Arabidopsis thaliana: one gene and its partner. The protein of the gene in region 1 purifies or fractionates together with the protein of each later gene. This does not show direct contact. Each region holds a gene or a part of one and is shown on either strand. Other genes may lie near its edges.

Region 1 (4,432 bases):
CTGTTCATTTAATTTGCTAGATATTCATTTCCTTAGAAAAGATTAACTATGATTAATATTTCTACATTTAGGAACTGAAAGCATTATTACAACTATCCAAAGCTATGAACATGTAAAGGTGGAAAGAGGACAAAGAATATAACACGTTTAGGCAAATTGTGTATTACAACTCTGAAGGTGTTTCTCAATCCAAAATCTCTCCGTTTCTTCGGTTCAATACGGAGTTTCTAATTGAACTCCGAAAAAGCATGGAGAGACAGAACAAACATAGTCCTGTTGTACACAGAAGAATTAACAGTGTCAGAAAAAGTATCCTACACTAAATATCGAAAGCATCATTCCATATTATGGTTAAGACTTAAGAGCGAACCATTGTGCTTTTACCTGCATAGGCAATGGTCACACCCGATATGATTCGTCCTAGAGCTGCCAAGAAGTAAAGACAGATCACAACCTGAGAGACAGAAACAGGCGAAGATAAAAAAAGTTCAGTTTAGAATTCTGCCACCAAGCATAAAACCAGAGAACTGCATTGCATCGGAGTGGTAATTGGCTAAAACCACAACTGACAGGTTCTGTGGAATTTCAGTCAATGGTCTTAACCATCTTTGTCTTCATCAATAAATGCTTGAATGTTGTTATACACATTTCCTATTCATGCAGGCACCGCACCGGGTGATCGAAGAAACTACCTCTTGTAATGCAAACAAGGAAGAAACCAGAATGCACTTGCCTTAACAAAGAGCCTCTTGTCATGTCCTGTTGCTGCAACCCGCAGAACGGATTCAGCTGCTCCAACAGTATTAGCTAAGCGCGCCACAATGTTACAGGCTGTGTCTTGTGATATTTGCCACTCTAATGGATCCACAGGTACCCTTCACACAAAAGTTACTACTTTGTTAAATCATGTGACCCTATAAAGACTGCAAGAGTATTTCAAACAGTGAATCATCAAATCAATTATACTAATAACGCTGGTAATTTCTGCATTGATCAGAGAAGAGGGATGAAAATGATAGAATGATGAGAAATACACAGTTGAAAAACACAACTTTTTCCCCAACGCTCATGGTCATGAAGATCAAAAGCTGTTACATTCAAAGAAACAAAAGATTGAGCTTTGTAGATAATGTGACTTTTAAGAATGCAAGAGTAAATTTAAACCGTTTATATCATCGAATCAAATCACACTTTTATGGTTCCTAGTTCCTTATGTTGAAACCAAAAGCAAAGGCAAGCAAAATAAAACCTTTTCATGTCGTAAACACGTTGAAACTAGCTAGTAGCATCACAACAACAATTCACACGATTATGTGAAAACTAAACACAACAAAAAGCTCACTCATTTTGAATTCTGAACAGATCAAACAGCCAAACAAAGAATTTCTCAATTTGTAACCTTAGATCGGCAAATGGGAGATGTAACAGAAAGCCCAACACTCAAAGAAAGAAAATTTAAGGAGGAAATTAGAGAAACTTACGAGACATTGAGGTGACGAAAAAGAAGGCCGAGAATGGCGAGTGAAGATAAGAGAACGATGAGAACGTCGGAGATGAGCGAGAGAAGAGTCGCGTTGCGATTAGCGCAATGGTGATACACAAGCGTCCCGCTTATCAGCAATCCTATCGCCTTTCCCATTTCCCCCATCTCTTCTTCTTCTCTCTTGAATTTTTGGTTCCGACATTTTCTTTCAGATGAAACTTCCCAAGAGTTTCGGTTTGGATTCCAATTGCTGGTTTGTTTGGTTCAGAATCGATTTTGCCTTTGGCTTATTAAGAAACAAACCAAATTCTTGGTCAGTTTGGAAACCCAGCAATTTCGTAATTAGATATTGTTAATGGTTTTGATTGGTTCAAGGCTTCAAGCCTCAATATTTAGTTCGATATAGCTTATTTAAAAATTTATATGTATTTGACATAAAAGAAATTTTCACTGAAATTGGCGGGTTGAGCCGGCCCGTGCAGTAGTGCAACGCATGGGCGACTCGCGAAAGCCCAGATAGCAAGCTATCTTAGTGGGCTTTCTCCCTTAAAAAATAGAGTTAATATCGTGTGGGCCGATGGCCCACATATCAGATATTAAACTGATAAGAACAGATACTACACTTGATCTTAGCCAAAAGGCCGAGAAAGGTATGAGTTGCGATATGGATACGAAGTGTGTTTTATATCAAACGTGGTAGAGCGAGTGTTTCTTAAACTAGCGATGTGGGACTTTATAAAAACCAAATTGAATGTACGAGCTCTTGTAACTCTTAGAATTAGATCATCCTCCTCCTTCAAAATATAAACTCTGTCATTTGTTTGAGAAGGAGAGCTACTATGGCTACATTCGCAAGGTCTGATTTGCTCTCTATCTAATTTTTTTTTGAAGGATGTTCCTATTTGTGATCTAATTTTGGCCGGATAACTAAATTTGTAAGACTGAATCTGTTGATTCTTCCCCTGGTTTGCGAATTTATGCTTTGTCGATTCTCACTTGTTTGACAATTTTTTGTCCGGTGGAATCAATATTTCGAAATCAGAATGGAATTACATGAGTGTATCAGAATGTAGGTTTCGAACAAACAAGGTTTGTGTTGGCTTTTGTCTTGAGATGATTTGGTTTGGTTTGTAGCTAATTTATATATTTCTGCTAGCCACTATCAGTGGAGCTTGGATCAGGAATATTGGGAAATATCTTTTGATGGAATCAGGTTCAGTTGGAATTTTAGAGTTTTAGATTGGAAATAACATAACAAGTTAGAGATTCTAGCTTCTCACTATTGCTAGAGAGTATTCTGTTAATAACATAAAGGCCTTTGGAGACTACTGCAAAGCTATAGTCTTTTCTGATAGTCAAATTTTGAAATGTATGACTGTCTTTGAGAATACGCTGACGACACACCATGTCGCCCTTCCTCATGATGCAATGGGGAATATAACTTGAGTAAATTAACTGTTTACTTCTGATAGAATGTGACAGCTATGACAAATTCTCCCCTTCCTACAAATCCGTGTGGATGATGCGTAACATTATTCATTTCTACAACTTGGCCAATCAGGTATCGATCTTGAGTTATCAACCTTTTTTTGCGTGTTTCTTTTGGTTTTTGAAAACTTTGTATATTTGTGATCGATAACACAGGCTATTGACAGAGCAGCTGGAGTGGATGGCTCAGACGGTTACTTACACTCTCATCAAACATCGCTTGGGAGATCTTTTCTACCGCTTAGTGTAAGCAAATCTTCTACTGATGAAGCTGTTTTCTCGGTTAGATTTTGTTTAGAAAAGAAATCAAGATCTAAACTTAGAGTTTTGGTTATTTTAGGTTTCAGAAGTTTGAAGATCCAGCTGAGGGAGAAGATACACTTGTAGCCAAATTCAAGAAACTGTAATAATGATCTGACTTCTGGAGAACGCGCCTTGGAAGATGGAACTCGAGAAGCAAGCAGTTTTCAGAAATCGGAAGTATTCGAGCATCGAGCATCATCACAGTGGGGTAATGATGAGTCCATGAATCCAGGTTTTGAGCCCGAAAGAAATAAGTGGTTGTTGTGATATATGTTCTCGCTTCCTCTCTTCATGATTTCATTTATTTGTTGGTGTACAGACAAAAGGAATATTAACTCTTACGACAAGGTTCAAAAAGGTTAAATATTCTCACAATTTTTTTAAAGAAGTTGAGAAATGCAGAAGAAATATTCCAAGAAAATGTGTTTTTGACATTACAGATTTGCGATCACATCATTCAAAAGTTAAAGGGACTAAACATAACAGACATCCAAAGTAGTCGTTTAACGATGCAAAATAGATAAGCAGAGTAAAACAAAGACAAGAAAGAATTATATTAACCAGGTCCGACTTTAGGGATATCGTAGTGCTCACTCATGTTAGCCAGATACTGATTGAAATCCTCAATCCTGTTACGGTGAGACTTGTTCGCTTCCTTAGCTAGCTTCTGCACATCCAATCTTTGTTTCTGCTCTATGTATCGCCTTTCTGCTGGCGTTAAGTGATCATCATCATCGAGCTGCTGCTGCAACTTCGCATCCTCGCTTGCCTTTTCACTCCTGTTCATTTCTTCATCTCCTTCTTCTCCTTCAATCAATTTACCCAATGCTTCAGTGCTTTCTCCTATACCCAAACCCAAAATAGCCAAACAACAATTAATTGACTCTCCTTTGTCGATGAATGTTGATGAACAGATTAGTTATGGTTATGAGAAGAGAGCTGTTGTTTCTTACCTTCTATGAGTTCATGATCAGTAATTTTAAGAGCTTGTTCTTCCTGTCTCTTATGTTTCTTCTTCTTCTTTACTCCACCTGCTTTCACATCCAAAGCCTTCCCTTTTAGCTTTAGCTTCCCACCAATAACATTGTCGTATGCCGACATCTCTTGGCTGCTAGTCAGAACAAAGTACCACACAAAACATACATTCAAGTTAGAAAG
Region 2 (6,071 bases), on another chromosome or scaffold:
AGTTGCTTAGGCGCTTGAGTTGAAATTTATATTTCTAGGCATGGATTGGTTTCTTAAAGATTCTTATTAATGTTGTATTGGCAAATATTAGCACCTTCCACTACACGTTTGTAGGAAGTAGTCTAACTTGTCTAGAATTCTTAATATTTTTTTTTATGTTACTAATCTTTGCAAGTTGATTAAAACATATAATAGCAGATAAGTAGTCTAAGCTTGCCCATTCGCCAAGCTTCCATAGAATTTTCATATGAACAAAAGGTGAGATGTTGTTGAAACCCTAGGAATATCTTTCAACTCCTCGATGATCACCTCTTGATCTTCAAGATCGAAGGGCAGAGAGATTGTTGCGGTCTTTAAACGCTTAGAGTTGGCTAAAATGTATGTCAAGAATTTTTCCCCTTCTACTCTATCTCTATATCCTTTCCACTCGAATATCTCTAGCTGCGATGACAAGCATCCGGGAACAAGACTCGGTTGATTCCATCAAAATGGAAGATCCTCGGTTTTGTAGATATATCTCTGAGAAGCAATAAGGGGTATATATTAAGCAAAATTTTGACTAGTATTTTAGTCCATCAAAGCTAGAACAAGAAGAGGAGGAAGAGAAGGATACATACATAATCATCTACCAAAAATTCTTTTAGTTTTGGAGCAGTTCCAAGTCAAAGTACGAGTGGTTCCAACGAGTCTGATCTCCCTGTATATATACTTAACTTTACAAGAATATATGGATTGTGATGTCCTGTGAAAGTATTGAAGATAACTGAATATGAAGGAACAATTGAAGAGCTAGAGGAAATGAGACATTTCATAGAGAAACTGTCATGTCTTGTGCTTGTCAAAGTTCGTGCCTGTGCAATAAACGACAAGGAGAAGTATCGAATCACCGGAGATCTGCTAATGGTTCGTAGATCATCGAAGTGCAATATCCAGATCAAGTTTTATGAGAAAACTAGTAAAGGCATGAAAAAACATTGTTCCCTCCTAGTTTAATAGTATAGTAAGTTGGAACATTATTCAGTTTGTACGCATATTTGCTTATTGTTCTGCTAAACTACTCTCGCTACATATAAAATGTTTGGTCGCATACATAACCATTTTCTGCAATTTCCATTGGACAAAAAAGATGATAATTATTTCTCGATACTGTTAACAAACTACTCATATTCCCCCAAAAAAGAAAAACATTGCAGATAAATGGGGATGACAAATGTGCAAAAAGACAAAGATGCCATTGTGATGATAAGATGTTGTGTTTTGATTACACCATGAGACCCTCAGGAGCAGCAGCAGCAGGAGCCTTGGGTTTCGGTTTGTCAACAACAATGGCCTGAGTGGTCAGTACCATTCCTGCTACGGAAGCAGCGTTCTGTAGCGCACATCTTGTCACTTTAGCCGGATCAATCACTCCAGCTTCGAACAGATTCTCATATGTATCAGTCATTGCGTTGTACCCATTCTCCCAATCGCTGAACATAATCTTTTCCACAACAACTTCTCCTTCAACTCCAGCGTTCTGAGCAATAAGAGCAGCTGGTGACAGCAATGCCTGAACTCAAAACATAAACCCTTATAAGATAACTAGTCACAATTGGTTACAGAACAAATACTGAACCGAAAAACTAAATGCTACCTTTTGTACTATGTCAGCTCCCAAACGTTCATCAGCATCCTCAAAAGTCTCCTTAATGGCGGGAATAACAGTGGAGAGATGCACCAAAGCAGCACCACCACCTGGAACTATGCCTTCCTCGATAGCAGCAAATGTTGCGTTCTTTGCATCCTCGATACGAAGCTTACGGTCCTCAAGCTCAGTTTCAGTTGCTGCTCCGACTTTAATGACAGCAACACCTCCAGATAGCTTCGCAATTCTCTCAGCGAGCTTCTCTGAGTCATACACAGAATCAGTCTCGAATAGTTCTTTCTTCAGCTGAGCAATCCGAGCTTGTAATTCGTCCTTGGAAGCTGCATCTGCAATGAGGGTAGTCGAATCTTTGCTAATCGTGACTTTTCGGGCAATACCCAATTGATCTATGGTTGCGTTTTCAACCAGTAAGCTCATGTCCATGGCTAGGTACTCAGCTCCTGAAAAACATACAAAATGATAAAAAGTTTAGACCATAACAGAGAGAAAGTAAAAGTACTAAACGCACGCGAAATCTGCATATACCTGTCAAGATTGCAATATCTTGAAGCATGGCTTTTCTTCTTTCTCCAAATCCTGGCGCTTTAACGGCAACAACATTGAGGACACCACGAAGCTTGTTCACGACAAGGGTAGCTAAGGCTTCACCAGTAACATCCTCTGCAATAATCAACAACGGAGCACGAAGCTGAGTGGTCTTCTCCAAAATAGGGATGATGTCTTTGATCGCAGTGATCTTCTGATCAGTGATCAATACCCTAGCATTCTCAAACTCAGCTAGTAGTTTCTCAGGGTTTGTAACAAACTGAGGCGAGATGTAACCTCTGTCAATCTGTAAATAATCAAGTTAGTCATTGGCAATGAATGGTGAATAAAATTACAGTTGAAGAGAAGCAAGACAAAAAAACTCATACCTCCATCCCTTCTTCAACTTCGACCGTGGTCTCAAAAGAAGATGAAGATTCAATGGACAAAACACCATCAGGTCCAACTTTGTCGATGGCATCAGCAATCATTGACCCTATAAGGTCATCATTTCCAGCAGAGATAGAAGCCACAGCTGGAAAAAAAAAAAAGAACAGATTGATCAGTAAAAGAAATCAAACATTGCTGCATCACAAGGAAGGTCACTGCAAAGTTAGTACCTCTGATGTCATCACGACCTTTCACGGGCCTAGCTTTCTTCTGAAGCTCTTCGATCAGACCTTGAACAGTCTTATCAATTCCCCTCTTGAGTGAAACGGGATTCGCACCAGAAGTGACGCTCAACAATCCATGTTTGATTATCTCCCGAGCAAGGATAGACGCAGTGGTTGTCCCATCACCAGCAGAGTCATTAGTCTTACTCGCAACCTACCACATAACAACACCAGATTACCGCACCGTATAAATAGCATTAACAGAGACAATAACAAAGCTACACCAACCTCACGAATAAGCGCTGCACCAGCATTTTCCATGGCATTAGGTAACTCAATAGCTCTAGCAATGGTGACTCCATCATTCACAACCTTAGGACTTCCAAATTCATCCAACACAACATTCCTCCCTTAAGAATAACAAATGAAAACACCAAGATAAGTCGAAAGATAAATAACACAGATGAAGATGGAAAGAGTAAAGGAGCTACTAATATTAACAAATACCTCTAGGGCCAAGAGTGAGACCAACACAATCAGCAAGCTTATCAATACCAGCTTGTAGAGCAGCTCTAGAGTGCTGGTCAAAAGCTATTTCCTTTACATTAGCTCTAACACTAAAACGTCTGATTGTCCTCTTGTTGTAGCTAACTCTCTGACCTTGCTGCTGATTTCCTCCTCCCAACTTACTCTGTATACCCACAACATCAATAAAGCAGATTCATTAACATTAATCTCAATCAGTTTCTTCTAATTCCCATAAAAATTAACCTTTTCTCACCAACCCAGAAACCAAATAGAGAAAAGCAATTGAATTGAAACAGAACAAACTAAAGGGTCAAATTCAATCACTTTCTTCAAAAACCCAATAAACCAGATAGAGAAAGGTTTTTGAAAATAGATAACACTGAAGGGTCAAATCCAATCAAAACAAAGTAATGAAAGATGATTCATTTTCTTCTTTAGTAAGTAGCTAAGGAAGGTAAAAAGGAACAAACTTTGTACCTGACGGGAAGAACAGAGGACGGAGGCGGAAGAGAGAGCGTTTGCAGACGCCATTTTGAGAGAAAAGGAGGGAGCTTTTTGAGGAACGTTCTGGATTGGTGTGGATAAGGAAGTGGTTAGTGTAAACGAATAGTGTGGGAGGAGGGGTTAGGGTTTATTAGATAAATGGAGAGAGTAGCTGAGAGAAAAAGGATCCAGAAGATTCTTTGCATTCGTAACGAGAGAACCGTTGATCTTAATAAGCCTTTTTCACCTACTTCTATGGGCCTGTTTGTCTCACTGTTTATGGCCCAATAATAGAAACAGTACTCAAGAAACTTTTATAGTTTGTGTATTCCAAATTCGTTTTTATCCATTCTCTTACTGAATGTACTCACTCTGTTTTAAAATATAAGAGGTTTAAGGTAAATGGATACATATTAGGTCATTTTGTATATAAAAAATAGTATTTAGATTTTGTTAAAAAAAATGATAATGAAAACTGCAAAATATAAATAGTCACAAATAGTCAAATTAAATTTAAATTTAAACTTGTAAAACATCTTATAATCTGAAACAAAATAAAATCCCTAAAACATCCAATATAATGAAACAAAGGGAGTAATATTTAGACCAAACTAATAAGTACAATTTAAGACTTGTGAAAACCATGAGATTATAAAATACATGTTAAGTGGATGAAAACACCTAGCTTAGAGTAGATTTACCCGCTAAGTAAAACAGAAACTCTCATAAAGACAACAGTTACTACTTTTCTAAACAGAGAATAGACTCCAAATCACCTAATTGCTACATGATTAATTGATTTAGTTAAGCCAATACAATTTGTTTCTAAATCTTTTTTCATATAAGTATTGCTTGTTGTACGCATCATATACCATGCATTAAATTAGTTTCCCATGAATAAATTCACTAGTTACGGAAAAGAAAAGTTGGGAAGTGAGATAATAAATCTGACAAAAGTGGCAGTTTCAACTCTGAAGCGTCAATCACATAAATAGTTGCAGTTTGGCGTTGGGTTTGATTTGATTGAGTGAATTGACCAAATAAACACACTTAATTAATAACAAAAGGGAAGTTACGTAACACAAAAATTATAAATAGGGACGTCTACATGTATTATTCCTCAAAAGATGCAGCTTACCATAAGATGACGTCCATATCTTTAATGGAAACCGTGCCGTAAAATTGACTGCCAAAATGTACAATGTAGAAAACATGAGTAAACTAACAGTTGTCCTGATGTACAAAAAAACACACTAACAGTTGTCCGATGAAAAGAAAGAGACATGTAATTTAAAGCATTACGACAAAAAGAGTAAATAAATAACACTGTTGTTAACTTGTTTTAGTAATCTATTGTAATTATTTTCTTGAGTGGTTGTGATTGAAACGAAACAATTTAGTGGACTACTAAGCAAAAATAGTTAGGATATATAGAGCATGCAACAAAAGACATGCAAAAACATAATTTGGTTTGATGTTTTGCATATGTGTTTATAGTTTTCTAAAACTTAAAGTGCCTCATATAAACAAATAATTAAGTTAAAAGTGTATTAAAATTCTGAAATTTAACCACATTCCTATGTTCTATATGAAAAAACAATTATTAACCATTAAACTACCATAAAATAACTAATACTTTATAGACTTATGATTTTATTTTATTTTATTAAAGAATTTAGTTAAAATTAATTTTAGGGCCGTTAATTTTATTGTTTTTTAGATATTCCGTAGTTTATTGCATGTTTCAATTTGTATAAAAATGTGTTTCATTTGGATATTGATACATGTGTATCAGTTTAAAGAAGAAAATAATTTTCGTGGAAAAAAACCGACAAAATAGATTTTTAAGAGAGTAAGTACAGTACCGTGTAATAGAAAGACTGATAAAACCCACCTTAATACGTCAAGAAAAAAACCATTACAGATTTTACGGCTTTACGCAATCATTATTCTCTCTCAGTCTCTCTCAGTCTCTCTCTCTATCTCCCACGGTCGGTTTACATACATATCTAAACTCACCACCGGAGCTCCGACGATTTTTCCGGCCACCTTCCGATCGGTATGTGTTGTGTTCCCTTTTTTCTTCTGAGATCTATCTGTCTTTATCACTTCCACTTACCTTATTCATTTTGTTTCTCCTCGCGAGTATTTGTTTTGCTCATGGTACTTATAGTTCCAAATTGAAATCTTGACGATTATGATATATATTACCAAATTTAAATCCGAATACTAGTTATATTCTCACACCTTATTTTTTGTTTTCTTGTTCTTCTTCT

Evidence for each region. Proteins that work in one complex are often made in the same cells at the same time.
Region 2: the proteins of AT1G16820 (region 1) and CPN60A fractionate together in Arabidopsis thaliana (co-fractionation; one large-scale study listed by BioGRID). This does not show direct contact.

Annotation. Positions count from the first base shown.
Region 1 is NC_003070.9:5,756,093-5,760,524, reverse strand, and holds AT1G16820 (vacuolar ATP synthase catalytic subunit-related / V-ATPase-related / vacuolar proton pump-like protein), read left to right. Parts: upstream 1-1,871; 5' UTR 1,872-2,060; coding exon 2,061-2,158; exon of another isoform or gene 2,159-2,322; coding exon of another isoform or gene 2,323-2,339; exon of another isoform or gene 2,340-2,965; coding exon 2,966-3,044; intron 3,045-3,127; coding exon 3,128-3,217; intron 3,218-3,311; coding exon 3,312-3,326; 3' UTR 3,327-3,690; downstream 3,691-4,432. Other genes in the region: AT1G16825 (Reticulon family protein), read right to left, coding at 185-273, 385-454, 734-875, 1,482-1,648; AT1G16810 (7-dehydrocholesterol reductase-like protein), read right to left, coding at 3,831-4,117, 4,228-4,375.
Region 2 is NC_003071.7:11,924,375-11,930,445, reverse strand, and holds CPN60A (chaperonin-60alpha), read right to left. Parts: upstream 4,001-6,071; 5' UTR 3,844-4,000; coding exon 3,790-3,843; intron 3,476-3,789; coding exon 3,292-3,475; intron 3,195-3,291; coding exon 3,073-3,194; intron 2,999-3,072; coding exon 2,791-2,998; intron 2,706-2,790; coding exon 2,560-2,705; intron 2,478-2,559; coding exon 2,171-2,477; intron 2,086-2,170; coding exon 1,634-2,085; intron 1,550-1,633; coding exon 1,262-1,549; 3' UTR 958-1,261; downstream 1-957. UniProt on the Arabidopsis thaliana protein: Binds RuBisCO small and large subunits and is implicated in the assembly of the enzyme oligomer. Involved in protein assisted folding. Required for proper chloroplast development.